7 linked regions of the Macaca fascicularis genome follow. The protein of the gene in region 5 purifies or fractionates together with the protein of the main gene of each other region. This does not show direct contact. Links are inferred from orthologs where the notes say so. Each region holds a gene or a part of one and is shown on either strand. Other genes may lie near its edges. The genes, in order: BAG2, DNAJA2, DNAJB6, XRCC1, SOX2, SUPT16H and ILF2.

Evidence for each region.
Region 1: the proteins of SOX2 (region 5) and BAG2 purify together in Homo sapiens (affinity purification with mass spectrometry; 3 studies listed by BioGRID and IntAct, with this or other methods). This does not show direct contact. The link is inferred for Macaca fascicularis from reciprocal best matches to the Homo sapiens genes SOX2 and BAG2.
Region 2: the proteins of SOX2 (region 5) and DNAJA2 purify together in Homo sapiens (affinity purification with mass spectrometry; 3 studies listed by BioGRID and IntAct, with this or other methods). This does not show direct contact. The link is inferred for Macaca fascicularis from reciprocal best matches to the Homo sapiens genes SOX2 and DNAJA2.
Region 3: the proteins of SOX2 (region 5) and DNAJB6 purify together in Homo sapiens (affinity purification with mass spectrometry; 3 studies listed by BioGRID and IntAct, with this or other methods). This does not show direct contact. The link is inferred for Macaca fascicularis from reciprocal best matches to the Homo sapiens genes SOX2 and DNAJB6.
Region 4: the proteins of SOX2 (region 5) and XRCC1 purify together in Homo sapiens (affinity purification with mass spectrometry; 3 studies listed by BioGRID and IntAct, with this or other methods). This does not show direct contact. The link is inferred for Macaca fascicularis from reciprocal best matches to the Homo sapiens genes SOX2 and XRCC1.
Region 6: the proteins of SOX2 (region 5) and SUPT16H purify together in Homo sapiens (affinity purification with mass spectrometry; 3 studies listed by BioGRID and IntAct, with this or other methods). This does not show direct contact. The link is inferred for Macaca fascicularis from reciprocal best matches to the Homo sapiens genes SOX2 and SUPT16H.
Region 7: the proteins of SOX2 (region 5) and ILF2 purify together in Homo sapiens (affinity purification with mass spectrometry; 3 studies listed by BioGRID and IntAct, with this or other methods). This does not show direct contact. The link is inferred for Macaca fascicularis from reciprocal best matches to the Homo sapiens genes SOX2 and ILF2.

The regions. Positions count from the first base shown.
Region 1 is NC_088378.1:114,546,289-114,550,238, forward strand, and holds the start of BAG2 (BAG family molecular chaperone regulator 2), read right to left. Parts: upstream 2,801-3,950; 5' UTR 2,427-2,800; coding exon 2,314-2,426; intron 2,264-2,313; exon of another isoform or gene 717-2,263; intron 1-716. UniProt on the Homo sapiens protein: Co-chaperone for HSP70 and HSC70 chaperone proteins. Acts as a nucleotide-exchange factor (NEF) promoting the release of ADP from the HSP70 and HSC70 proteins thereby triggering client/substrate protein release.
Region 2 is NC_088394.1:42,898,574-42,902,662, forward strand, and holds the start of DNAJA2 (dnaJ homolog subfamily A member 2), read right to left. Parts: upstream 2,801-4,089; 5' UTR 2,701-2,800; coding exon 2,623-2,700; intron 1,083-2,622; coding exon 1,023-1,082; intron 707-1,022; coding exon 483-706; intron 1-482. UniProt on the Homo sapiens protein: Co-chaperone of Hsc70. Stimulates ATP hydrolysis and the folding of unfolded proteins mediated by HSPA1A/B (in vitro).
Region 3 is NC_088377.1:198,639,904-198,644,149, reverse strand, and holds the start of DNAJB6 (dnaJ homolog subfamily B member 6), read right to left. Parts: upstream 2,801-4,246; 5' UTR 2,662-2,800; intron 1-2,661. UniProt on the Homo sapiens protein: Has a stimulatory effect on the ATPase activity of HSP70 in a dose-dependent and time-dependent manner and hence acts as a co-chaperone of HSP70. Plays an indispensable role in the organization of KRT8/KRT18 filaments.
Region 4 is NC_088393.1:51,608,826-51,612,758, forward strand, and holds the start of XRCC1 (DNA repair protein XRCC1), read right to left. Parts: upstream 2,801-3,933; 5' UTR 2,692-2,800; coding exon 2,641-2,691; intron 2,229-2,640; coding exon 2,136-2,228; intron 1-2,135. UniProt on the Homo sapiens protein: Scaffold protein involved in DNA single-strand break repair by mediating the assembly of DNA break repair protein complexes. Negatively regulates ADP-ribosyltransferase activity of PARP1 during base-excision repair in order to prevent excessive PARP1 activity.
Region 5 is NC_088376.1:93,587,211-93,591,315, reverse strand, and holds SOX2 (transcription factor SOX-2), read right to left. Parts: upstream 2,801-4,105; 5' UTR 2,366-2,800; coding exon 1,406-2,365; 3' UTR 285-1,405; downstream 1-284. UniProt on the Homo sapiens protein: Transcription factor that forms a trimeric complex with OCT4 on DNA and controls the expression of a number of genes involved in embryonic development such as YES1, FGF4, UTF1 and ZFP206. Binds to the proximal enhancer region of NANOG.
Region 6 is NC_088381.1:89,045,704-89,049,203, forward strand, and holds part of SUPT16H (FACT complex subunit SPT16), read right to left. Parts: intron 3,261-3,500; coding exon 3,108-3,260; intron 2,606-3,107; coding exon 2,459-2,605; intron 2,048-2,458; coding exon 1,896-2,047; intron 1,227-1,895; coding exon 1,054-1,226; intron 1-1,053. UniProt on the Homo sapiens protein: Component of the FACT complex, a general chromatin factor that acts to reorganize nucleosomes. The FACT complex is involved in multiple processes that require DNA as a template such as mRNA elongation, DNA replication and DNA repair.
Region 7 is NC_088375.1:107,508,750-107,512,068, reverse strand, and holds the end of ILF2 (interleukin enhancer-binding factor 2), read right to left. Parts: intron 2,914-3,319; coding exon 2,835-2,913; intron 2,574-2,834; coding exon 2,486-2,573; intron 1,749-2,485; coding exon 1,687-1,748; intron 1,603-1,686; coding exon 1,488-1,602; intron 1,267-1,487; coding exon 1,176-1,266; intron 1,027-1,175; coding exon 866-1,026; 3' UTR 501-865; downstream 1-500. UniProt on the Homo sapiens protein: Chromatin-interacting protein that forms a stable heterodimer with interleukin enhancer-binding factor 3/ILF3 and plays a role in several biological processes including transcription, innate immunity or cell growth.

The sequences.
Region 1 (3,950 bases), on a different chromosome or scaffold from region 5:
AATACAGAAGACAAAATGCAGTCTAAAAAAAGGGCTAGTGTACTGATAAATTCCATTAGAGATAAATGGAAATCCTTTAACAGTTTGTAGAACTGCTGCCAAACATTTTAATCATGTAGATCAGTTCATACTCCAGGTCATGAAGTATGAAATTTCTTCCACAATTGACAGGATGATGTGGTTAGGGAACATTACGTGCACACTTCTAAGTACAAACGGTAAGGTTTTATTCTACCCAGTTACACTACTTTATTAGTTAACATAAAATCAAACTATTAGAGCAAAATTACATATGAGTTTCATGTTTTCATTTAAAAATCGATCTTGTACGCATGATTCTAGTTTTTAATAGTGTAGTGTTCTATGCCATTGCCCATGTGGTTTCAAAAAAACACTTTAATAGGATCAATGTTAGCATTTTTCTCTATTTTTGCTTACCTTAGGAAATCCTTCCTTTTCAGCTAGTATTACTTTTTTAAAAAGAAAAAAAAGGCCTACAAAAGTCTAGAATTACTAAAAAAAGTCCTTGAAATGAACAGCCACATATTAATCACTTTTCTCCTCAGCTCAAATGTTAATTAAGCAAGTTGTAATTTAATCACTGATGTGCAGTAATCAGAATTCATTTTACATTAATCAAACATTAGAATATAATAATATTCAAAACCTGAGGCTTTCTTTTTAAGAGGAGCACTTCAGAGGGCTTTTGTACCTACCACATGTGAGGCATTAATTCAAGTTTGAGGACAATGACTCAGCTTGAAGGAAGGCGGGGTGGAGTAACATCCTACCCATTCCTTTAGGAAAAAATCTTTTCTTTCTAACTAGGGGAGAGCGAGTGAAGTGGTTGAGAACATGCCCTCAACGTTCTGAAGACATGGAGAGAGGTGTGTTACTTGTTATGCGGCTCCCTAAAAAGAAACATCAGTTAGAGGGACTTCCAGTAACTGAGGCCACCAATTTCTACTTGCGCTTTACTTTTTCTGGGAGTGGAACGGGTCAGGTTTGCTAGTATTGTGAAAATCCATGAGGAAGCATTATTTCTCTCTTCCACTTGCCTCATTCTGAGTGGAACCCCAGAACCTCGTGTAGGGCTTAGGTTTCTCTGCTGCCATCCAAGAAATTATTTTGAGCGGAGAATCTCTCACTCTCTGGCTCTTTTCTCCCAATAGTAACAATAATAATGCCTTACTTGTTAAAAGAGATGCCGTGGTTTTGAAGTATTTTCTCGGCAAACGGACACTTCATATTTGGGTGTATTAATGGAGGGAGATAAAACACACATGCAGTGTTTCCTGAACTTTTTGGCTCACATGCTTCTTTGCTCATGCACAACCTAGAGAAAACTATGGAACCAACTCCTGTGTACAGTTTCAGGGAATTCCAGGTGCCTAACAAGGTTTTCTTTTAACTACAGTTGCTCACAAAATTTACACAGTAACTTGAGACAAACGTTCACAGGAAGTAGATAAAACTTTTCAATATACCGTTAAAGTCTTTCCAAAAATCTATTAACATTATATTGTTTAGAAATTCTGTACAAGTCTACTACTATATTACCTAATAAAATCTTAAGCAAGAAAAAGGGAAAACTATCTTTTCATACTTTCAGGCCAGTGACTAACACTTCGTCTTCTATGTAGGGAGGTGCCCAATAAATACTGAGAGACAAACGGAACCGCGGAATCCCGTCCGCCAGGTCAGGGGATAAAGAGAAGCCGCAACGTCTTTACTGCACGAAGCACCCGGTAACTTACTGCCTACCCCTCACTCCTCTCTAATCTTTGGTCTCAATGGATTGCTGGGTTGGTTTTGTTTTATTCATTTTTGCTCTTTTAAGTGTTCTGAAGCAAGGAAACTTAACTTCACGTGGAGGGCCACTGTAAACTGCTGCCTCCCTTAAAAATGTATGACGGGAGAAGAGTAAGTTAAAAACATTTGGGGCCACACAGAAGGTTCTAGAAGCTCTGCAGACCCACGCTGCCACAGTCGTTAATCGCATGGAATCTCACCTCTTAACTTTTATCTCCTCTTTTTCCTGCTCCCCAACACCTAGGTAAGTTAATCAAAGTGTGGCCACCATCACGCCCTCACAGGTTTAGCTTACAATGCGTTTTCTCTTGGACAAGGGGAGAAAATCCAAGAAATAAACAAAACTACACCACGTCCATCCACAACAAATCTCAACAAGCAACTTCTGTTGCCGCAGCCTCACTGTGCCCCAGGGCCCGGCCCGCCACACGCGGCCTCCGTCCGCTAACCGCCCGCGCGGCGAGCAGAACGCCCGAGACCGCCCGCCCGCCCGCGGCTCACCTGAGCTCCAGCTGGTCCAGGCTCTCCAGCAGGCGGCTGGAGCGGTCGGCCATGGAGGAGGAGCGGCAGAAGCGCCCCTCGTTGGCTTTAGCGTTGATCTTCGCCTGAGCCATCTAAGCCTCCGACGCGGGGCAGCCGAGAGGTCACCGGCCCCTCCGGCGGCGGCGAGTGGAGCGCTCCTCGGGCTGCAGGCGTCGCCGTCACCACGCGGGCGCCCGCCCTCCCTCTGACGCCCGCGGGGGCAACCCGGGAGGACTCGCCGACACCGCGGCTGCCGCGTGGCCAAAGAAGGGCAGGCGCGGCGCCCGCGGGGCTCGGGGACGCCGGGCCTGGGAGGGGGCTGCAGCGGCTGGAATTAAGAGGTTCGCGGGCCACAGGGGCTCGAGGATGGGCCGATAGGGGCTCGGGCCTGGGGAGCGCAAGTCTCTGAGGCACGGGGAGGGGCAGACGCAGAGACTGAGCGCCTAATGTGGCCAGCGGATCGTCTGCTCCTCGGACCCAGGAACTACCCGAAGCCCGCCCGGACCCACAGACCACCCCCAGCTCCGCCCCGCGTGGCCCCGCCTCTTCGTGCAGCCTAAAAGTAACCAACTTCCCCCACACGAAGGTTCCTATCGGTCGATGGGTTGTGGGTGTATTGCTCAGTGATGGCTTCGTTTAGTTTCTTCCAGCACCCATAATTCAAAGCAAGAACAACGACATTAAGGGTCCTGTGATATAGGGAGAAAAGGTCCTTTTGTGAAACAGAAGGCAGTTAAGTGCAGCTCCTAGGCAGCCCACACTCACCTGACCTTCCTGTTACCACTTTATACTAAGATGAGAGTAACGAATGCCCGGACAACGCTGAAGCTATTAAGTAAAAAAGAAAAAGCTACTCCATCTTTCCCTATCTAGGTAGATGTAGGAAACAAAGTGAATTTACTTCATTTTTATCATTCTAAGGATTACAGGTGTGAACCACCACGCCCGGCTTAATGAAGGAGTTTTTAATTTTTGCTATTAAAATTATTCCTGTTGAGTGAGCCGAGATCTCGCCACTGCACTCCAGCCTGGGCAACAGAACGATACCTTGTCTAAATAAATAAATAAATATTCTGAGTGAAATAATTGGCATTAAGAAGTCCTCAACTTTTAATTTTTTTTTTTTTTTTTTTTTTTTGAGACCGAGTCTCGCTCTGTGGCCCAGGCTGGAGTGCAGTGGCCGGATCTCAGCTCACTGCAAGCTCCGCCTCCCGGGTTCACGCCATTCTCCTGCCTCAGCCTCACAAGTAGCTGGGACTACAGGCACCCGCCACCACGCCCGGGTAGTTTTTTGTATTTTTTAGTAGAGACGGGGTTTCACCGTGTTAGCCAGGATGGTCTCGATCTCCTGACCTCGTGATCCACCCGTCTCGGCCTCCCAAAGTGCTGGGATTACAGGCTTGAGCCACCGCGCCAGGCCAACTTTTAATGTTAACAAAAAGATGCAGTAGGCCTCTAGGTCAGGCACCAGCTGTCGGTAAAAGATGGAATAGAGCTGAGGATACAAAGATTAGTCTACTTAAAAAGTTAGGTTTTGGTCCCCTCTCCTGATAGCTCTATGCCTCTCACTGCAAGGATGTTAATGTACACGGCACAGAAAATGATAGATAATAATA
Region 2 (4,089 bases), on a different chromosome or scaffold from region 5:
TCTACTAAAAATACAAAATTAGCTGGGCATGGTGCCACATCTGTAATTCCAGCTACTCGGGAGGCTGAAGACAGGAGAATCGCTTGAACCCAGGAGGCGGAGGTTGCAGTGAGCTGAGATTGTGCCATTGCACTCCAGCATGGGCAACAAAAGCGAAACTCAGTCTCAAAAAAAGAAAGAAAAGAAAAAAGAAAACGATCTTTACACTTGAAATTTTAAGTCCTATAATAACAAGCAGCCTCAGAACCATATAAAACCACCTTCCTCTCATTAAAAAATATCTACCATCCTTTTAAGAGCTACAGCAAAATAGAAACAGTCAGATAATCAAATTCTATTTAGTCACCAAAAGAAGACAAGGCACATGGAAGTTTTTCTAATGAAGGACAGAACATTCTATGAGTTTTTTTTCTTCTACTGAGTCAATATTCCACTTGACAAAAAGTACCTAATTTTTTAACACAACAAAACAAGATATTCACTTGAGTGGATGCATCATGTCCTCTCCTCTTCTTCTGCCATTTCGACTTCGACTCTGATTGCCCATGAAGCCGAACAATCCCCCACCAAAAATGTGAGAGAAAATATCATCCATGCCACCACCTCCGCCGCTGCCTTCCCGAAGACCTTGCTCTCCGTATCTGTCATATAACTCACGCTTCTCAGGATTTGATAGTACTTCATATGCAAAACTTATTTCTTTAAACTATAAAGAAAAGGTAAAAATAAAAATAATTACATTTTCAAATAGAAGAGTGGGGAGAGGCTATAGGAATCCAGAATCCATTTAATTCTAATAAAAGGGACAAGTTACCTTTGACTTGATTCTGCTTCTATTTACCACCCACCACTCCTCAGAATGGTAGTACTCTTATTCTAAAACTAAAATACTCTTTGACATTATGAAAATGTGGCTGTGTGGGCATAGTTGGATTTTTTTCCTGCAACATTCCTTTTTTTCAAGGAGGGCAATTTAAGTTAAAACTAAAACCCCCGGAATAAAAAAATCGCAAATAACTTACTTTGTCTCCTGCATTTGGATTCTTATCAGGATGATATTCCTTGGCTAACTTTCTGTATGCCTTTGAAAATGGACAAAAACAAAGAAGGTTATAACTAAACACCAGTTTAAAGTTTTGTAATAACTTAACATCCACTTTTCTGAAAAGTAATGTTCTAGAGTTATAACCTTCCAAAAATATTTTCTATTCGTATTCTTTGGCACTTCCTCACGATACTGTTTACTAATGTAATATAACCAAGTAGACTGTAGCTATACTTGAAAATAATTACAGTGACGTGAAAACCAGATAAAACAATGAAGCAATACCATAGGGAAAACGTTCAAACATTATCCATATTTTCCCTATCGTCAAGTGTCTGATGGCCAAGTAACCAGACCAAGACCACTCTAATAAATTTGAGATAAATGACTGTCAAGCTTTACGGACTGCAAAACATTACTATAAATCAAGCTAAAGTCACAATTCCTGCTCCCGATGGCTCAGGCCTTCCTTCTAACTGTAACATCATGAAAAAGTCAAGGTGGTCCCAGGTAGTGTCTTTAGGTGTTTTATTTGCACGTGGTGGTTAACTGGGGTCGTGGTGGCAACTTCGGTGGTAGTGAAGTTGCACACTCTCAACGAGGTGTTTGGGTCATACAGCACTTAAATCTTCATTTACGGAGGCTCGTGAATTATATAATACAGACTAGCATTTCCGGTAAGGTAACAGGAAGTCCACTGCACTCTTCTCACTGCCTAAGGAGCATTCTCATTTTTCTCGGCTTACAAATCCGGATGCTCTTAGCCCGGTGAGGATGCTGTGGGGCTTAAACGCCTCGTGTGCTTTGAAATCCTGAGATGAAAGATATCGCAGCATTGCAAACAGCGATAATAAGGCCTTCTATTCATGTTTATTGCACACTCAGGCGTTTGGCTGGGACCACGGCTTATTCCTAAGCAGGTACAGGACATTAGCATTACCTGACCACAGAACAATGCATCCAAACACAGACCCACGCTACCTCCGGGTCAATGGGCGAGGGAGGAAGAGAGGGAGGAGCTCCCGCAGCCCGCAGCCGGGGATCCCAGGAAACAACCCCATCTGCCCGAGGCGCTCTGTGGGGGCGGCCTCGACCTCCCCGCCGGACCTCCCCGCCGTTTTTCCCCGCGGAGCACCAGACCCGGGGCCGACGGCCGCGGGGTGGACAGCTTCTCTCCCGGGGCCGGGATGCGCTGAGCACCTCGGTCCAACCTGTTTTTCCGGGGTGGTGACCTCGACGCGGAGAGCCGGGCGAGCTGCTGCCTCCTGGGGGAGACCGGCCACCGGCGCTCGCCCGAGGAGGGAGGAAGGGCTACCGTCGTGTTTGCGCAGGAGTGAGTTTTATTTGCTGCATCTGCGGGCGGGCGGGGCCGGCGGCCCAAGGTCAGCCGAGGCCGGAGGGCGCGGCTCGCCGCGAGGCCGGTCCCGCCGCTGCCGCCGCCGATCCCCAGCCCGGGCCCGTCACGGCCGGCGCCGGCTCGCGGGCCGCCCAGTAGCGCGGCCTGGCTGAAGAAGACATCCCCGGCCGCGCAGGCCCCGCGCCCCTCACACCCGCCCGCCCGGCCCGCTCCCGGATACCTTCTTCAGCTCGTTCTCGCTGGCGCCGGGCGGGACGCCCAGGATGTCGTACAGCTTCGTGTCAGCCACGTTAGCCATGGCGGCCGGCCGGGCAGTGCTCAGGAAGAAGGTGGCGGAGCAGACAGAGGAGCCGGGCCCACAAGCGGCGTCGGCAGCGGATCAGGCCGAGGGAGACAGCGAGGGGGAAGCGGGGGCGGGGCTGAACTTTGACCGGGCGCACGGTGCGCCGTGACGTCGCAGTGCGGAGCCCGCCCCCGAGCGCCCGAGGCGCGGCCACTGGGTCGGGGTGGTGAAGAGTGTGGCTGGTTCTCTGATCTCCTCTGGGTCCAGGCTGCTGTGCTGGGCCGACGTAGGAAATGAACTCTACACGGCGCACCCCAGGAATTCAGCTTCCTCTCAAAGGCCATGGTTGCGACGTCGCGTGTTTAACCTCGCACTGGGTACTGAGGGGATTAACAGGCCTACGCGGCAGCTTCGTTAGCTTCGAGTCGGTCGGGAAAGGAAGTGGGCCCCGGCTCCTGCAGGAGGCCAGCCTGGCGCGCAGAAATCGTTCTCAGAATCCAGGACGTCGGTGGACCCTCTGGGTCTGGCTCCCTCGGGGCTTACGATGAAAAAAACTGGGGAGCGTGTGTGTGTGTATGTTGTGTTTTATGTTATGGGAATAATGAAACATTCAACAAAAGCAGTCTATTACACCCCGTAGTGCAGTTAGCTACATTTTACCAATTTTGTTTCATTCGCTCCCCTATACATCTCTGGTGTTTTCAGGGAAACCGTTTCATTCATAAATACCCTGAGTGTATATATTTAAGACAACTTTTAAAAGCATGACGACGTAATCTCATCTAATGAAATTAACAATTCCTTAATCTAATTCCCAGTCTATATTTAGGTTTTTCAAATGATCGCATGGCCTTTTACAATTGGTTTGTGGCATTCCAGTCCAAACCAAGGTCCACGTGTTGCTTCTGGACCACGTGTTTAAGCCTCTTGATAGCTTTAAAATTAGCTAATACCAGAGGTTTAGATGGTGTAAGGCAACTCTGGCCACCAGGTGACTTGATTTACATTCGTTTTAGTTTCGCTCAGAAAGTGAATGCTGTGCATCTACCACGTGCTATGATGTACAGAGGCCTGGTCCGGAGAGAGGAGTGTTACAAAAGTGCCTGCCTTCAACCCATTTACGGTTTACGGAGACAGAAAAGTAAGATTTTATGATCCCTTGGAACCTGAACTGATAGCAAAGACTTCAGTATAAGCATCTTACTCAGGATAATGTTTCTTCCTTGGCGTTCCCCTTGACCTAGTTGTGGAGGGCCTGAATGCCATGACAAGGTCTCTGAAATTTAGCCCGAAAACCCTAAGAGTAATCAGTGATAAGTCATTGATAGTCCTTAAACCCTTTTCCTCAAATCCCATCTGAAATCCTGCTCCCTCTGTGAAGTCTTCCTTGACTGGACACTGGTG
Region 3 (4,246 bases), on a different chromosome or scaffold from region 5:
TGGTGAAACCCCCATCTCTAATAAAAACACAAAAAAATTAGCTGGGTGTGGTGGCGCATGCCTGTAATCCCAGCTACTCCGGAGGCTGAGGCAGGAGATTCGCTTGAACCTGGGAGGCGAAGTTGCAGTGAGCCAAGATGGCGCCATTGTACTCCATCACGGGCAACAGTGAAACTCCATCTTAAAAAAACAAAAATAAAAAATAAAAAAAAGGGCCAGCCGCGGTGGCTCACGCCTGTAATCCCAGCACTTTGGGAGGCCGAGTCGGGTGGATCATGAGGTCAGGAGATCAAGACCATCCCGGCTAACATGGTGAAACCCCATCTCTACTAAAAACTACAAAAAAATCAGCCGGGTATGGGGGCGGGCGCCTGTAATCCCATCTACTCGGAAGGCTGGGACAGGAGAATGGCGTGAACTTGCAGAGATCGCGCCACTGCATTACAGCCTGGGCAACAGAGCAACACTCCGTCTCAAAAAAAAAAAAAAAAAAAGTTCAAACATACCATCCCACCCCCACCTCAGACCTGGATTTGGGTTACCTAGGTGGAAAACTGATGAAGGTGATGGGTACCACTATTCGTTTGAAACTGTCCAAATCAGTTAATAGAAGGAATTACAGACTTGCTTAAAAATGAAAGCTAATGTATGCCACTTAGTTACAGGTATCACACTGTAATACCATACCCTTATTTCAGTCTTTACAATATTCAACAATACTCACCACCTAGTGTTCCGGAAAAACTGTCCTACAGCCAGAATTACTTCCCAAACCTAACACTTTCATATCCAGAAGAAAATAAGTTTTAAAACACTGATGTTTTGAAGAGAGTGTTGAACTCATCTCAAATTCTTCAAGAGCCTTGCCCTCTGAAATTCCCAACTTTCTCATGTTCCACAGTACAGACTAAGCCTAGTTAGGCATTTTTCAAAGGTTCTCAATCCTTTTGTTCTCCCACTTCCTGTCAAGTCTCCACATCTACCAATTTAAGGCAACTTACTTCCCAAATTTCACATCCAGAATAATCCATAAACACCCACAGCTCATTAAAGTGTGCATAAAAAATATTCACCCCTTTATCACAGAAGGCAGAAAGAAATGTGAAAGAACCAACTTCAAAGGAGCTTAAGGCTCTCAGAAGTGGAAACAAGTCTGCAGTCGGCCGGGCGCGGTGGCTCACGCCTGTAATCCCAGCACTTTGGGAGGCCGAGGCAGGCGGATCACTTTAGGTCAGAAGTTCGAGACAAGCCTGGCCGACACGGTGAAACCCCGTCTCTACTAAAAATACAAAAATTAGTCGGGCGTGGTGGCGAGCAGCCGTAATCCCAGCTACTCAGGAGGCTGAAGCAGGAGAATCGTTTAAACCTGGGAGCTGGAGGTTGCACTGAGTGGAGATCGCGCCACTGCACCCTGGCCTGGGCAACAGAACAGACTTCGTCTCAAAAAAAAAAAAAAAAGTTTGGAGTAAACCCAAAAAGAAAACATGACGGATGGACAGGCGGAGTAGTAAGGTGGATGCATATAATTCCTTTCAGAAACCATGAATCGTTCTGATATGCAACATTATTTGGAAAAGTGCGGTTAAACACGAAGCAGCAGCAACCAAGATTTAGTAGTTAAAGTCTGTTTACTTTCCTTTCTTCGGTCTTTAGTCTTAACTTTTCTACTAAATCAATAATTTGGCTTAACTTGTAGCCACAAATCCTTACTAAATTCGCAACTCATATTAACAAAAACGTTAAAAATTACAAAGAGCTCCGCTCAGCCTACTCTTCCCAAACAGGCTGAAGCCTCTGAGCTCGCAGGCGGCATCCCTTCGGTGGTGGCACGATCGTTCTACTCGGGCTACTTCCTGCCTCGTTTACGTGAGAAAATTAGTACAGAAGTTTACGTCTGACTAGAAAACCCATCCTTTTAAAAAAATGCGCTAGCGCCAAAACCTTTCTCGAGCCAACATACGGTTTGCAGTTTATACTTCGTGTGTCACTGACCTTCCTCAGTTGGGTAAGAGTTAATATAAACTTGTTACATAAACTTCAGTTGCATCAACTACGGTGCAGATTCTTTAACGCAAAGCAAAGCAGACAGACGTTCTGAATAAGAAACGCAGCCTGCTCTTCCACAAACTTCTCAACAATCCGTCCGGAGTTCTAGAAACAGGGCTCTGCGGTCCACCACCTGCTTCTTCTCCCTCCGAACTTGGCGGCACGGCAGCGGCATTCCCGCTCCGCAAGCCACTCGCGTTTCTGGTTTCAGACTCGAGGGAAGGAGCCTTAGAAAGAAGGCGCTCCACGCCTCCCACGCTGCCGGCCCCGCCGAGCCCCAGCCGAGCCCCAGCCGGCCGCTCCCAGGCCGGGCCCCACCCCCAACCGCCGCCGCGGAGGCCGGGCCGCGTTCCGGCAAGGACGCCGGGCGGGGAGGACGCGGCCGGGCGGCCCCAGCCCCCAGCCCCGGCCCGGGCCTCGGCCCCAGACCCAGAGGACGCCGCCCACCTTTCGCCCCGCAACCCCGGCCACGGCCCCCGCCCCTTCCAGTACTGCCCCGACCGGCGACCCCGGTCACCCCCCACGCTGTTGCCAGGAGCCGGGTTAGGTCCGCCGTCTGCCGGGCGCGCGCAGGGCCCTAGGCGACCTCCCCCGGCCCTCGAAACAGACTCTCACCGAGGACGGAGGCGGCTGGTGGCGGGACGCAGGGGAGGCGGGGTGACTGCCCGAATCTCCTCACAGCTCCTGCACTGCTGCGCTGGTGGTGGCGGCGTCTCCTCGCGCTTTCCTTTCTCTCCTTTCTCCGACAACAAACAGGAAATGCGTCACGCGGCGGCGGCACAGCGACGTTAACTTCCGCCCGGCCCTGACGCCGCGCATGTGCAGTTTCCACTGCCCAAAACGCGGGCCCAGCCTCAGAGGCGCCCGCCCCGCCTTCGCGAAGGTTCTCGGCTCTTCCGCCGCCCCGAAGAGGCCGGGAGACTGGGGGCGAAGGGGAGGGGAGGGGAAGCCCAGGGCGAGAGGGCGGAGCTCGGGGCCGGGTCCACGGTACCGGGAAGCCCAGAGGCGCGGACGGCGCAGAGAAGGCCGAGAAGATTCCAAACGGCACTGATTGTTCTGGGCGAGAAGGAGCCCATTCTGGAAACCGCGATGTCGTCGCGCCCTTCATCTTCGGCCGGCGGCCTCCGGAGCGCGTCCGCCGCCTCTCGCCCCCCGGTCCTCCCGTGGAGCTGGGTGGCATCTCCCCACAGCGGGACGAAAGCTGGGGCGCGGGCGCGGGCGGAGAAGCCCTCGAAGGGGAGGAAAAAGAAATCAAGCGGCGGCCAGGGAAGGCAAGCGAAGGCACCGGCCCCCGCTCGTCAATTTAGGGAAGGCCTGATACCCGAAGTTCCCCGGCGAACGGGAGTGCGTGGAGACTTCGCCAGGGAATAATGATGGAAGGAAATGGAAGCAAACTGTGGCCGAAAATACCGAAGAAGCTTTTTAGATTGAATCGTGGCAGTTGTTTCCTGAAAACGGGCCGCACTTTGATCGCTGGACTTGAGGTCATCCCCAGACTCGCGAGGCTTTCCCGCGTCCGCAGGGGTTCTGGTTCTAACCCTGGAGATTAATACCACACGCGTGCAGATGGTGACTAGCGGGAGCAGGGAACCTCAGACCCCGCGCAGTCAGACAGGCTTTCATTCCCAGTAACGAAAGGTCCTGTAGATCCAAAGCCTAAAGAGGTCAACAAGCAGTTCCGTGCATGGAGCCTGGCCTGGATCTCCCACTGTCTTGTCTCCAGCACTCAGCCAGATGTTTGCTACTGTGTTGTCTTCGTAGCCCACCTTATCCTTTCCTTTAAGAAATAAAAATGCCAACCTGGTGTGGTGGCTCACGCCTGTAATCCCAACACTTTGGGAGGCCAAGGCAGGTGGGTTACCTGAGGTTGGGAGTTCAAGACCAGCCTGACACAAGGAGAAACCTCGTCTCTACTAAAAATGCAAAAAAAAAGTTAGCCAGGCGTGGTGGCGCATTCCTGTAATCCCATCTACTTCGGAGGCTGAGGCAAAAGAATCGCTTGAACCCAGGAGGAGGCGGTTGCAGTGAGCCGAGATCATGCCATTGCACTCCAGCCTGGGCAACAAGAGCGAAACTCTCTCAAAAAAAAAAAAAGAAAAAGAAAAATTCCTTTTTGTCACACCTTTCCTGAACTTCAGATCCTGTGGCATGCTGACGCTGAATTCCGGGGGCCTGCTCAGCCACCTTCTGAACAATGCTT
Region 4 (3,933 bases), on a different chromosome or scaffold from region 5:
CAGGTGCTAAACATTGACATCAATTGGGATGGACTAGATGATGTTACAGTAACAAAGGAGTCCCTAATCTCAGTGGTTTGAAACCACAAAGTTGTATTAACTTACACTGTAATAATGCTGTGTAACAAATCATCCTAAAACTGAGACTTTTTTTTTTTTTTTTTTGAGACAGAGTCTCACTCTGTCTCCCAGGCTGGAGTGCAGTGAAACCATCACAGTTCACTGCAGCCTCAACCTTATGGGCTCAATTGATCCTCCCCACTCAGCCTCCCTAGTAGCTGGGACTACAGGCATGCACCACCACGCCCAGCTATTTCTCGTATTTTTTTGTAGAGATAGGGTTTCCCCATGTTACCCAGGCTGGACTCAAACTCCTGGGTTCAAGCGATCCACCCACCTCAACCTCCCAACATGAAAACTGAGACTTACACCAACAAGCATTCTTCTAAGAGTTCATGGGATGGCTGCTTTGGCTGCAGTTTGGAAGGATTCAGGTCTCTTCCATGAGATTTCAGTTTTCTGGGATTAGCAGTAACCTGACAAATGTTCTCATGGCAGATCATGGGAGCACAAAACCCAAGTGCATTTAAGGCCCTTGCTGAAGTTAGATGTGCTGAAATTCCATTAAGTAAATCATATGGTCAAACCCATCAGTGGAGCAGGGAAATATACTCCCCCTCCAGCGGGAGGGAGAGGAGTGGATATTTGCTGAATGACTGCCCATTCTCAAAAGGTTAATTTTTCCTTCACCCTAGCACTATCCAGAGGGTGTTCTGCTCCTTATAGTCATAAACCAGCCCCCAGGCCAGGAACGATGGCTCACACCTGTCATCCCAGCACTTTGGGAGGCTGAAGCAGGAGAACTGCTTGAGTCCAGGAGTTTGAGACCAGCCTGGAAACATGGTAGAAACCCTGTCTCTAAAAAAAAAAAAAAAAAAAAAACTAGCCAGGCATGTTGGTGCACACCTGCAGTACCAGCTACTCAGGAGGCTGAGGCAGGAGGATCGCTTGAGCCCAGGAGGTAGAGGCTGCAGTGAACCAAGCCAAGATCATGCCACTGCACTATAGCCTGGGAACAGAGTGAGACTCTGTCTCAATAGATAAATAAAAGACTGACTGTCAGGCAAGTTGTATAACTTATTTGGGCCTCAGTTTCCTCATCTGTAAAAGTGGGGATAACAGAGCTTGCCTCTTGGGGTTTATGAGGACTCAATGAGCTAATCTATGTGAGTGAGGTGTGTAGAGCAGTGCCTGGCAGGTAATGTTGAATAATGTTAGCTCTCATTACTATTCTTTTATTTTTTATATTTTGGGGGTCTCGCTGTGGTGCCCAGGCTGGAGTGCAGTGGCGCAATCTCAGCTCACTACTGCCTCCATCTCCTGGGCTCAAGCAATTCTCTCACCTCAGACTCCCCAGTAGCTGGGATTACAGGTGCACACCACCATGCTCAGCTAATTTATAAAATTTTGGTAGAGATGACATCTCACTATATTGCCCAGGCTGGTCTCAAACTCCTGGGCTCATGCGATCCTCCAGCTTCGGCCTCCCAAAGTGCTGGGATTACAGGTGTGAACCACCACACCTGGCCTATTATTCTTTAAAAAAAAAAAAAAAAAAAGTATTTATTTTAATAAAAATAGAGACAGGGTCTTGATATGTTGCCCAGGCTGGTCTGGAACTCCTGAGCTCAAGCAATCCTCCCATCTCAGCCTCTGAAAGTGCTGGGATTACAGGCATGAGCCACAGCATCCAGCCAGTTTCCCCTTCTTTAAAGTGGAGTTGATTGGCTTAGATGACCTTCCTGGACACCTTCCAGCCCCGAGCCCACTGGCTGCAGGAGGCAGGGTACATGGCAATGATTCATTTTGTTCCAGCTGAGGAAAGTGAAACCCAGAAAGTAGAAGCCACCAGCCCAGGACCACACACTGATTCCTATGGTCATCCTGGACCTCATCCTTGGGTCTCCTTTGCTCTCTGCTGAGGGGCACAGGGATTATGCCGCCCATTTTCCAAGTAAGGAAGCTGAGGCCCAGCAAAGAAAGTGACTCAACCCATTGCCAGTTGGTTCAGGAGCAGAATCTGGTACCCCGGACTCCAGACTCCTAGTGAGGAGGAGGTGGGGTGGCAGGATCACCTGTAGAACCACAGAGATGGTCTTCTCGCCTGCCTTGGCTGCCCGCCATTTTCGGTAAGTGTCTGCCTTGAGAAGATTTTCTGCACAGTGGGTCTGGAAACAACAGTGGGAGAGGAGAATTAGAGCACAGAAATGACAGCTAGGCCTCCAGCTCTCAGTTGATTCCTTCGAGTCCTCCCAAGGCCTCTACGATCCTCCAGACTTAAGCTCTCCCGTTAATCCCCCCACACTCTGCCTGGAGTTTCCCTTACAACACTTTCCCGTGGAAGTTCACCTATGGGCTCTCCAAGAAAGCTTTCCTTATTCCTCCTTTTCTCTCCGGAAGTTCGTTCCCTAGACGCCGGAACGTCCCTAATTCAACATCTCTCCACAATTCACTTTTAGTCTCCTGGAAATCCCCCCATGACTCTCCTTAGACTTCCAAGAAGAACCCCAAGAGTTCTTTTAAGAGTTGTCCTCATTAATTCCCTCACGTCTTCCAACCTCCCCCATGCAGGTCCCTCACCGAGTCCTGGCTGCTGCAGGACACGACATGGCGGAGGCGGATCTCCGGCATGTCAACGTCGTGGGCTTCGCCTGGCCAGAAGGATGAGGTAGGGTCTGGGGTCCGAGAGGCACGGAGGGTGGGAGGGGGTGGGGTGCGCCCTGCGCGGGCTGAAGTGCGCAAGCGCGCGAGGCTTGGGCCTTTCAAACCCCGGCGCGCCCGCGCTGGCGTCGACACTGCGCAAGCCCAGTCGCGCCTCTCCACAGCGGGAAGAGCGCTGCGTTCCTTAGCAACGAGCGTTTCCTCCAGCCCCGCCTCCCTCTGCCACACACCCCCGCTCTAGCCCCGCCTCCCGATGACGTCCGCACCTTGCTTTCTAGGCGCCTAGCAACAGAAGCGACCTCCGGGATTGGTGTCTAGAAGAAATTCGCCATTCTCATTGGACGATGCAGTCACCGCTCACACTGGAGCCTAGAAAGCAAATCTTTTTGCTGTATTATTATTATTTATTTTATTATTTTTTAAAATTTTTTGTTGAGACAGGGTCTTGCTCTCTCACCCAGGATGGAGTGCAGTGGCAGGATCTCGGCTTTCTGCAACCTCTGTCTCCTGGGGCCAAGGGATCCCCCCACTTCAGCCTCCTAAGTAGCTGGGATTACAGGCACTCGCCACCACATTCGGCTGATTTTTGTATTTTTTGTGGAAACACGGGGTGAGGGGGCGGCGGGTCTTGCTATCTTGCCCAGACTGGTCTCGAACTCCTGAGCTCAAGCGATCCACCTGCCTCGGCCTCTCAAAGTGCTGGAACTACAGGCGTGAGCCACCGCACTGGGCTAGGACAGCAAATCTGAGTGAATTTTCGTAGTTTCCTAGGAAACCTGGATTCTACGCAACAGGATGTCCTCAAACGGCTCAGGAGGCTGCACTCTTCACTCTGTCCCCCTGCCCCACCCCACCCCCACACACACACATACACATACACACACGCGCGCGCGCGAAAAAAAAAATATCAGATCTGTCTCAGCCTTATGCCTGAGGCCAAAAGAGAAGGGTTCAGCGTCCTAAATATAACGCAAAGTATGTGCCCAACCCCCACCCCCCCATACACACACCCCTATCCTGGAGTTTGTCCAAAAAAGCCTCAGTTTCCCAATATGTAGACTGTGGGCATCTGTCTTTTACTACGCCCGCCTATGGCTGCTGACAGGCATCCCCTCTGTTCATTCGGTCCCTTGGAGAGCCAAGGGTGCAGCCCAGGGTGGGGTCGCAGCTGGAGACAGCCCAAACATACAAGGAGTGTGAGCCAAGCACATG
Region 5 (4,105 bases):
TTATTCATGCTGCTTAGAAAAGGAGGGGGCGGATTTACAATATATGTCTCTAGTTTCTATTTTAGAAATGACAGAAATTTCAGTTTTTCCAGTACTTATTAATCATCCAGTCTTTTTTTTTTTTTTTTTTTTTTTTTTTGCAGTTAACATTAGCACATGATGCTGGACTAGTAATACCAAGGTTTTTGGTATTTTGCTTTCTTGGCTGAGCACAGTATTATAGTTCCCCGAGAAGTTATGTATAATCACAGTGTTATCCAAATAAATGAAAGACTCAAGAATAATTTCAGTGTCCATATTTCAAAAATTTATTTATCTCAAACTGTGCATAATGGAGTAAAAACTTAAGTTGAAAATGTACCTGTTATAAGGATGATATTAGTTCAAATATATACATGGATTCTCGGCAGACTGATTCAAATAATACAGAGCCGAATCTTTTAAAATACAACTACGGAAAATAAAGGGGGAAAAACCTTAAAATATCACAATAAATTTACAGAAATATTACAAACCATAAGAAAATATTTCAAACACAGTAATTTCATGTTCTTTTTTTTATCTGAACAAAATGGAAAGTTGGGATTGAACAAAAGCTATTATAAATTACCAACGATGTCAACCTGCATGGCCATTTTTGCTTTTAACAGTTGAGTTATAAAATTTAGTACAATCTAAAACTTTTGCCCTTTTAAACAAGACCACAGAGATGGTTCGCCAGTACTTATTCTAATTTTTTCCTTTTGTACAATTTTTAAACAATTAAAATGTCCAAATCTGAATAATTTTCTTCTTTCCACGTTTGCAACTTTCCTAAATTTCAGCTGCAGAATCAAAATTCAGCAAGAAGCCTCTCCTTGAAAAATATTGGCAAATTCTCAGCTTATAAACAATGGACATTTTGATTGCCATGTTTATCTCGATAAATACTGTACAAAAGTTGCTTGCAAATATTAAAACATTTTTTTCGTCACTTGGAGACTAGCTCTAAATATTATTGGTAAAGACTTTTGCAAACTTCCTGCAAAGCTCCTACCGTACCACTAGAACTTTTAAAAAGTTTTTCGTAGCTTTCTTTCCTCCAGATCTATACAAGGTCCATTCCCCCGCCCTCCCCACCCTCCCCTGGTTTTCTCTGTACAAAAATAGTCCCCCAAAAAGAAGTCCAGGATCTCTCTCATAAAAGTTTTCTTGTCGGCATCGCGGTTTTTGCGTGAGTGTGGATGGGATTGGTGTTCTCTTTTGCAGCTGTCATTTGCTGTGGGTGATGGGATTTTTTTTCCATTTTCTTTTTGAGCGTACCGGGTTTTCTCCATGCTGTTTCTTACTCTCCTCTTTTACAGCCCTCCCATTTCCCTCGTTTATCTTTGAAAATTTCTCCCCCCTCCAGTTCGCTGTCCTGCCCTCACATGTGCGAGAGGGGCAGTGTGCCGTTAATGGCCGTGCCGGGCACCGGGCCGCTCTGGTAGTGCTGGGACATGTGCAGTCTGCTGGGGGCGGCGGGTTCCGGCACCTCGGCGCCGGGGAGATACATGCTGATCATGTCCCGGAGGTCCCCGGCCTGGCAGGGCGCCCTGGAGTGGGAGGAAGAGGTAACCACAGGGGGGCTGGAGCTGGCCTCGGACTTGACCACCGAACCCATGGAACCAAGAGCCATGCCAGGGGTGCCCTGCTGCGAGTAGGACATGCTGTAGGTGGGCGAGCCGTTCATGTAGGTCTGCGAGCTGGTCATGGAGTTGTACTGCAGTGCGCTCACGTCGTAGCGGTGCATGGGCTGCATCTGCGCTGCGCCGTGCGCGTTGAGGCCCGGGTGCTGAGGGTAGCCCAGCTGGTCCTGCATCATGCTGTAGCTGCCGTTGCTCCAGCCGTTCATATGCGCGTAACTGTCCATGCGCTGGTTCACGCCCGCGCCCAGGCCGGCGCCCACCCCGACCCCGCTCGCCATGCTGTTGCCGCCGGGGGCCAGCAGCCCGCCGGGCAGCGTGTACTTATCCTTCTTCATGAGCGTCTTGGTTTTCCGCCGGGGCCGGTATTTATAATCCGGGTGCTCCTTCATGTGCAGCGCTCGCAGCCGCTTAGCCTCGTCGATGAAGGGCCGCTTCTCCGTCTCCGACAAAAGTTTCCACTCTGCTCCGAGGCGCTTGCTGATCTCCGAGTTGTGCATCTTGGGGTTCTCCTGGGCCATTTTGCGCCGCTGCCCGCGGGACCACACCATGAAGGCATTCATGGGCCGCTTAACGCGGTCCGGACTGTTCTTCTGGTTGCCACCCGCCGCCGCCGCAGTAGAGTTGCCGCCGCCGCCGCCGCCCCCCGAAGTTTGCTGCGGGCCCGGCGGCTTCAGCTCCGTCTCCATCATGTTGTACATGCGGGCGCTGTGCGCGGGCCCGGCCCGCCGGCGGCCGCCGACCCTCGGCCCGGCCGGGACTTTGGGGGCCCGCGGGCGGGGGGAGAGGAGGAGGGGAGGCGGGCGGGGGTGTCGGGAGCGCAGGGCTCCGCGAGGAAAATCAGGCGAAGAATAATTTGGGGGAAAAAAAGAGAGAGGCAAACTGGAATCAGGATCAAAAAAGAGCTTCCCTCCTCCTCCGGCCGATCCTGCCGCCGCCGATGATTGTTATTATTATTTTTTGGAAAGGCTTAAGCCTGGGGCTCAAACTTCTCTCCCTTTCTTTCTCTCTCCTCTTCTTTCTCTCAGTCCTAGTCTTAAAGAGGCAGCAAACTACTTTCCCCCTTTTGCAAACACTCTCTTCTCTGCCTTGACAACTCCTGATACTTTTTTGAACAAGTTAATAGACAACCATCCATGTGACGGGGGCTGTCAGGGAATAAATGGGTTTCTAGCGACCAATCAGCGCGCGGCGGCTCCTCCACTCGAGCCCAGCCTCGCTGCCGGGTTTTGCATGAAAGGGGGCGGGGCCTCCCGCGCCGCCGGCCGCGCGGGGGAGGCCGGGGGAGGAAGGGGCAGGCGAGGAGGGGGAGGAGGCTCCCAGAGCCAGCCTGCCAGCCACTGAGAAACCTTTGTATCCCCTCTCGCAGCAACAGGTCACACCACACGCCTTTTCGAAGGAAGTGGGTAAACAGCACTAAGACTACGTGGGGTTTTTTTTTTTCTTTAAACTTAATATTGATTTACTTTTTGGTGCAGGGTACTGAAATGAGGATGGGACGCGGGAAGCAGCTAAGGTGCGGGGGTGGGGCAGGGCACAGTGGGTGGCTCAGGGCGGCTGTCCAACTCGTATTTCTGGAAACAGCCAGTGCAGGAGTTGGTGTGTCATTGTTCTCCTGCTCATCCACAGCACTCCCCCCCCCAACTCCAGCCCCTCTGGTGCCGCTCCCGTACCGCGCTCTTCCGCTCTCCCCTCTTACCTTACAGGTGCCAACACTCTCACTCCCTTCTCACAGTCCCGACTAGCAGTTAGGAGACCCAAACCTCTGTCCTCAAAACCTTCCTTGCTTCCACGTAACGTTGCTCTGTTCTTAAAAATAAATCCTGCTCGGACCATGAGGCCGACTCTAGAGCTGAGAACCGGCAGGCCTTGGTAAGCTGCCATCTCCCTGTCCAACTCAGCTCTTTGGCCCAGGAAACTGCAGCTCTTCCTCTTAGCCCCAGCCACATCTCCCACTAGACTGTCTTCATTCAACCGTAGCAAAGGGGATGCTCCTACTGTCTCCCCCCACTCCCCATTCCCATCCCATGCCTCCCTGAAAGAAGGGTTTCGGTCGTGCGGGTTTCAAATGGGGGCTGGGGAAAGAGACAGACGGAAGGGCGCTCAAAAGTGCAGGCGATGGGGGAGGGTGATTTCAACTTCCTGGCATCCCACGGCACTGTACGGAGGTGGCTTTTGGGCCGCAGTCACAAACTCCCTCCCACGCAGAGTTCCCAGGACTCGAGCAGAACCAGCCCTGGCATTTCCCCCGTCGATTTCCACTGTGGTGGCTGCAAAGCCCAGGCCGCGCAAGGCTGGGGCTGCGCCGCAAAGGGGCTCAAGTCTTGGGAGGCGGGGTCGATGCTCTCCAGGCACAGGTGCAGGCAGCGCACACTGGGAGAAGGCGGCCGGGACTGGGGAAGGGGGAGCCCAGCAATGCCCGGGTTAGAGGAGGATGAGAT
Region 6 (3,500 bases), on a different chromosome or scaffold from region 5:
TAAGACCGACTTAGAGATAATGTGGAAGAATGGTGTCTGGAAGCTCAGTATCCTTCGTATTGTTTTGATGTAGGATTAACATTATATATCCTGTTGGTAGAGATACTAGTTCTCAGAACTTTCTATAACTAAGGAATAGTAATAAGGCCAAGGTATTTTGTGAAGATCTGGACATAGAGGGCCTAACAAGTCAGAGAGGTTTCTATAAACATCAATGTAAACCACAATGATCACTCATACCTGAAAAAAATGCAGATTCAAGACCTACATGCTAGGATGATTCAACATTGCTAAATCTTATTCTGTTTTTAATATGACAGCCTCAGAGACATAAACATAACACTAATGACATTTCTTTTTTGAGACAAGGTCTCAACTCTATTGCCCAGGCTGAAGTGCAGTGGCGCAAACATGGCTCACTGCCGAGGTATAGTCACAACTCACCGCAGCCTTGACCACTTAGGCTCAAGTGATCCTCCCCAACCTCAGTCTCCTGAGTAGCTGGGACCACAGGTGTGCACCACTATGCCCAACTAATTTTTTCATTTTTAATTTCTTATAGAGGTGGGGGCCTCGGCCGGGCGCGGTGGCTCAAGCCTGTAATCCCAGCACTTTGGGAGGCCGAGACGGGCGGATCACGAGGTCAGGAGTTCGAGACCATCCTGGCTAACACAGTGAAACCCCGTCTCTACTAAAAAATACAAAAAACTAGCCGGGCGAGGTGGCGGCGCCTGTAATCCCAGCTACTCGGGAGGCTGAGGCAGGAGAATGGCGGGAACCCGGGAGGCGGAGCTTGCAGTGAGCTGAGATCCGGCCACTGCGCTCCAGCCTGGGAGACAGAGCGAGACTCCGTCTCAAAAAAAAAAAAAAAAAAAAAAAAAAAAAAGAGATGGGGGCCTCATTGTGTTGCCCAGGATGGTCTCGGACTCCTGGATTCAAGCAATCCTCCTGCCTCGGCCTCCCAATGTTGCGATTACAGGTGTGAGCCACAGCTCCTGGCCAATGACATTTTTGTGACGTAACTTCTAAACCTCCTTTTCTAAGGCACCTCACCATGTCTTAATTCCTTCAGCAGCTCCTCTTGAAGCTGGAGTAAAAAGTTGTAATTTTCTTGAACTTCCTGAGAAGGATCAACCATCAAAGTGCGAACAAGGTTGGAGCAGTAAGACTTGAAGCGAATACCCATGGCACAAGTGATGGCCCCAAAATGCATATGATTCTTGTCACTAGAGACCAAGAAAGAAAGAAAACATTTCATTACCAAAACTAGCGAAGTCTTTGGTATCAATGGGACACGGTATCAATAATCATTACTTTTCCCTGCCATATCCTAAAGCTGTGGCTGAATAAGGACCTAAACTTTTTTTGTGTTTTAAATAAACAAACCAGTTTAATAAAGGCTCTAGAGTAAACGTCAGTGACCAAAACTTTTAGGATAAAAATTCAGTGAGAAAGTGAGTACTGGATTATAAAAATGCAAAAGATATACTGAATTGTATCCATTATAGTCTAATTGTGGGGTTGTGAGGAGTCACTTATCCATCAGTCCTCTATGAATTGTGAGTTGTAGTTAGTCTTAAATATAGATAACAGAGACTGGAAAGGGTAAGTGTGTGGGGGGGCAGGCGAGGATGAAAAGAAATGGATTACAAGGTACAAACATAAGGTAAGATAGAAGGAATAAATTCAATGTTTGACAGCAGAGTAGGGTGACTCTACTTAACAAAAATGTACTGCACCTGCGTGATGGACACCCAAGAAAATGACTTGGTGACACTATACATTATGTACTTGTAGCCAAATTTCAATGTACCCCACAAATTTGTACAGATTTTAAAAGAAGAAAAAATAGGCTAAAGTCAAAGCGCTATATTATGAAGTCTTCATATACTTACCTCACCACACTGAACTTGAGATTATAGTTGCCACCACTCTGAATGATAGGAGGGTAACACATTTCCACAGTAGAAGGGTCTGCCCCAGCAAGGTATTTTTTCTCTTCAATGGCCTTTTCCACAGACTCAGCCAGTTTGCTGTGTCGAACTTTCTGTAAGAGCATCCAGAAATAAAGTAACACTTACTAGAGGGTAGCAAAGCGGGGTGTGTGGACACTATGATTTGAAGACAAAATATATCCTTGTATAAGGATGATATAAAAAAGGTCTTACGAAATGGTTTATGCACCAGGCAATATATTGGTATGCAGGCAAAACACATTTTGGAGAACAGTATGTAGGACCTACAGCTATTCCTAGGATTCTCAAGTAAAATAATGGGTTACCTCAAGAAAACATAATGCAGGCTTACCATTATTTTGAAAAAGAGATGACGTAATTACCACCAACTTAAGTGTCAGTCTTAATTTCAAAGGAAGTGGAAGAACACATCAACAGATTTGCATGATAGACTTATTACTGCTTCATTAAAACACTAAAAAGACCCTCTCATCTCCATTTACCTCATCTGCATCAACTATTTCCATGACTCTTTCCTTGAAGAATTTGTTGAAGACTTCAGAAGTGATGCTGGCTGCTTTCTTCATTAGGTTGAGCTCCCCATCCTCCTTTACAGCGATGGTATATGCCACAACTGCACTGATATCTATCTGCAGTCAAAGTGACAAGAGTTTCTAATATGCAAATATAGAATTACAAAATAATGCATCTCTCCAATTTGAATATTATCAGTGATATTTCTGTTACTTAGCAAATGATTTATCACTGGTTTGTAGAATATTCAAATATTCTCTTCTTGAACTGAATTAAACATTTGAAATAGCTCTTTGCCAGGTCACTGTGTGTAGTACAAGAGGTGTTAAACTAATGTACTACTTAAAATGTAAACTGCCCTCTCTAGATGTTTTTGTAAAGGCAGATGGAAGAAAGGCAGGGAAAGAAATTTTGTTTCCAACTCTAAAGTGGCTGGACTATCTCCTGAAAGTCCCATCTACTGGCTGAAAAGTAAAACTGGCACACTGCTCAAAGGGGATAAAATGTGAACAAACATACAGGTTTCCCAAAACAAACGTCCTGCACTATCTGTTATGGAAGCCCATCACATTTCTGTCTTCTCAACTCTTGATTTGCTACTTTCCAGTAGTATCTTACTTTGTCAAAGCCTTCTTTGTTGAGGCAGTCATTCCAGCTCTTCATGAACTCTCCAGGGAATTTGTCTTTGCTGAACACTCCAATCTTCTTTCCATTCTTGCTTTCTTTAATGGCTTCAATCATTTTGTCAAAGCTACTCTTATTACTTTCATTCTGTTAGTGTCACAGGGAAGAAAAGGGGTCTGTTAATTAGACATGTATGTTTTACCAATAACAGGTAGAGGAATATTCTAAACTATGGAAAAAATAAATTCTCCTCCCATCCCCACCTACTTTTTATTTTTAAAGAGACAAGGTCTTGCTCTACTACCCAGGGCAGAGCACAGTGGTGTGATCACAGCTCACTGCAACCTCGAACTCCCAGGTTCAAGCAATCCTGCCTCAGCCTCCCAA
Region 7 (3,319 bases), on a different chromosome or scaffold from region 5:
TTGCTTCCTTTCACAAATGAGCAGAGGCCTCTACTTTTTTTTAACCTGCATACTTGAGGCTTACCTTCTTCAGGCCTAGTTAACCAGAGGGGCTTCCTTTGTTACATGCCTAGTTACATGGGCCTGGGCAGCATGTCCTCTACCTGTGACTTCTCATTTTCCTGTTTACACTGGGGATTTGGAGAGGGCAGGCAAAGTCAAAGTGAATGACCTCTGTCCACCCAGTTTTTTATTGCACTGGCTTCAATACAGTAGCAGTATTGATAGAATCATTTTATTCAATAAATACTTAAAACGGTATTCTAGTTTACTCTGGTATATGGAAAGGTTCTAGGAGTTTGTACTTTAATTCAAAGACAGCTTCAAATTGTGATCTGAGTATTTATAATTAAAAGACTCAAATACTATTTTCAACGCAAGAGTATACAAAGCAAAAAGAAGCAAAAAAGGTTGCCACATGCAAAAAAACAAACCCAAAAAACCAACCAAAAGGCCAAGAGCCCTACTAGGAAGTACTTTAATAGTTTTTCTTAGAAAAAAAAAAATTCCAGACACTTAACATTTCACAACATTTCAACAGCAAAGTATTAATTGAGAGAGGGGTTTTCAGGAGTTGGGGATTCTAGAATATTAGGAAGAAATGTTGGTATCCTCCTTCATTATAGATGGATGGCATAGGTCACAAATGGGAGACTGGCAGCAAAGCCAATATCAAAACCCAGTGGAATGACACTTCTGTGGAGTTTACTTTTCTTCCTGCTATCTTCCCTATCCCACGGAAATGTCTGCCACCATGTAAAGCCCAGTAGCGGGGAGCTTAGGCTCCAGTCTTCCCCCTTGGGTAGGAAAAGGAGTGAAGGGAACATCACTCCTGAGTTTCCATGCTTTCTTCTTCCTCTCCTTGAGGTGGTTCTTCTGTATTCTCCTCTTCTTCCTCTCCTTCCTTCTTCTCTGGTGGCTTCTCATAAGCCTTTTCTGAAGGTGTTACTATCACTCCATCCCAGGTAGATATTTCAGAAGCAAGATCTAGGAAAGAGAAAAAGGTGATTTAGACAAGTAGCCCAGCATAAAAGACATTATTTACACTGTGGAAATATTAAAGACATTTAAATAGTGTACAGCTTCTTTGTAGACCAGATTACAATACAAAACCCCGACCCACAGTAGTCACTCACAGCTGGCATCACCCTCCTGGCCAAGGATCTTCCTAAAGCCACCATGTGAGAGGATTCGGACGAGAGTCTGAGCTGTGTAACAGACCATGTCCTGAAGGAGAGCAAAGTGAGAGTAAGTTAGCAAGGAAAATCAAAAGACTTTGAGTAATACCCTTGTGAAAACAGAGATTAAGACAATTTTTTAAATCTCAGGAACAAAGTATTTCAGAATCCCCCAATTCCTGACCCCTAAAGACCATATTCCACTTCGCCAGCTGACTAGGAGTATTCAAGAATGGGGCAAAACAACTCAGTTCGTATCTGTCCCAATACCTGCTGTTCTAGGGTCATGACTGTGTGTACTCTGAAGTTGCCACTCTCACAGGGGTCAGTGATACCCACTGAACCTGGCAGGAACAGTCCTGCAGCCAGAATCTGCAAGCAGCGTCTAGAACACAGGGAAGTATGAGGTATTAAAAGAATGCACAAAATAGCTTAAAACCAACCCTAAACCCAAAGAAGCATGCTGTACCTGTATGCAACGTTTAGGGCCAAAGGCTGTCTGGTGGGGTTGTTCATCACAGCATAATGGCCCTGGAAAATAATAAATCCAGTAGGTGTGCCATCAAAATGGCAATTCTGATAACTAGAACTGTAGCCTCACTTTGTCACCCAGGCTGGAGTGCAGTGGCACAATCATAGTTCACTGTAACCTCAAACTCCTGGGCTCAAGCAACCCTCCTGCCTCAGCCTCCTGAGAAGCTAGGACTGTAAGTACAAGCCACTACAACTGGATATATATATATATATTTTTTTTTTTTTTCCTGGTAGAGACAGTCTCACTATTTTGCCCAGGCTGGTCTCAAACTCCTGGCTTCAAGTGATCCTCTGGCCTCAGCCTCCCAAAGTGCTGGGATTACAGGCATCAAACTAAAACCTTAAATCATCATGAGGAAAACTGGTTATTAAGGTCTAAGCCTAGCCAAAATTTTCATGTTGTTCAGAAGCAATTCTGAAATGGCTGCTCACTCATTTCTCTCTACTGCCATGATGAAATGGTAGCAGTCATGAGAAGAAAACAGGACACTATAACTCAGTAACTACTCATTTAATTGAATATACCAAAAAAAAAAAAAAACTTTTAATTTTTTCTTTTTTTTTAAACAAATGTCTCTGAGTCATGTAAATGTTGAATTTTTATTGGATTACTTGTCTACCAATAAAATTTCTTTTAAGCTTCACCAAATTTCAGACTCTGGTGAATTTCAGAGTTACTACTACTACTAGTAAATAAGGATGAGGAGGAACTCCAATTGTCCATCTTTACTTACTAGTAGGTCAAGGATCCAGGGTGTGAGGGGCTCAAAGCCAGGAAAACGAATCCTCAAGTCCTTCAGTAGTCTGATGAGAACTTTAACTCTGAAAGTAATAGTGACCCAAACATTAAAATCAATACCATCATGTATTTCCACGCCTAAGGTAGAATTGAAGCTGACTATGCTGTTTACAGAACTATACGCTCTCTGCTTTCTCTAAATCTTAACTTGCTTAAGGTAAAAATAAAAATCCAGAAAAAAAGTCACAGGCAAAATAGTTCTGTCAGAGGAAGTATGGGGGTATCCTGCTATTCACTGAAATTAAAAAGTTTATCTTAATCCAAATGGTCAGGGAGGGACTCACGTGGACTGAGAAGCATTTTCCTCGAACCAGCGGGCATGTCGGATGGCTGCTAAGGCACTCTGCAATACCTTGATATCCACTAAAAAGACAAGCATGATAGGCCAGGATGAAACATTTTCATTAAACAAGCTACTCATTACCACTGCTACAGTCTAGGCTGGAGTGCAGTGGCGCGATCTCAGCTCACTGCAACCTCCGCCTCCGGGGTTCAAGTGATTCTCCTGCCTCAGCCTCCTGAGTAGCTGGGATTACAGCTACTCATGCCCCACTAATTTTTGTATTTTAGTAGAGACGGGGTTTCACCATGTTGGCCAGGATGGTCTCCAACTCCTGACCTCAGGTGATCTGCCTGCCTCAGCCTCCCAAAGTGCTGGGATTACAGGCATGAGCCACTGCGCCTAACCAACTTTGCAATTCTTTAAGCCACCCCGTGTTTCTCATATCAGCAAATCACTTGTCTAAAAATCACTAGAAGCAGGCAAGAG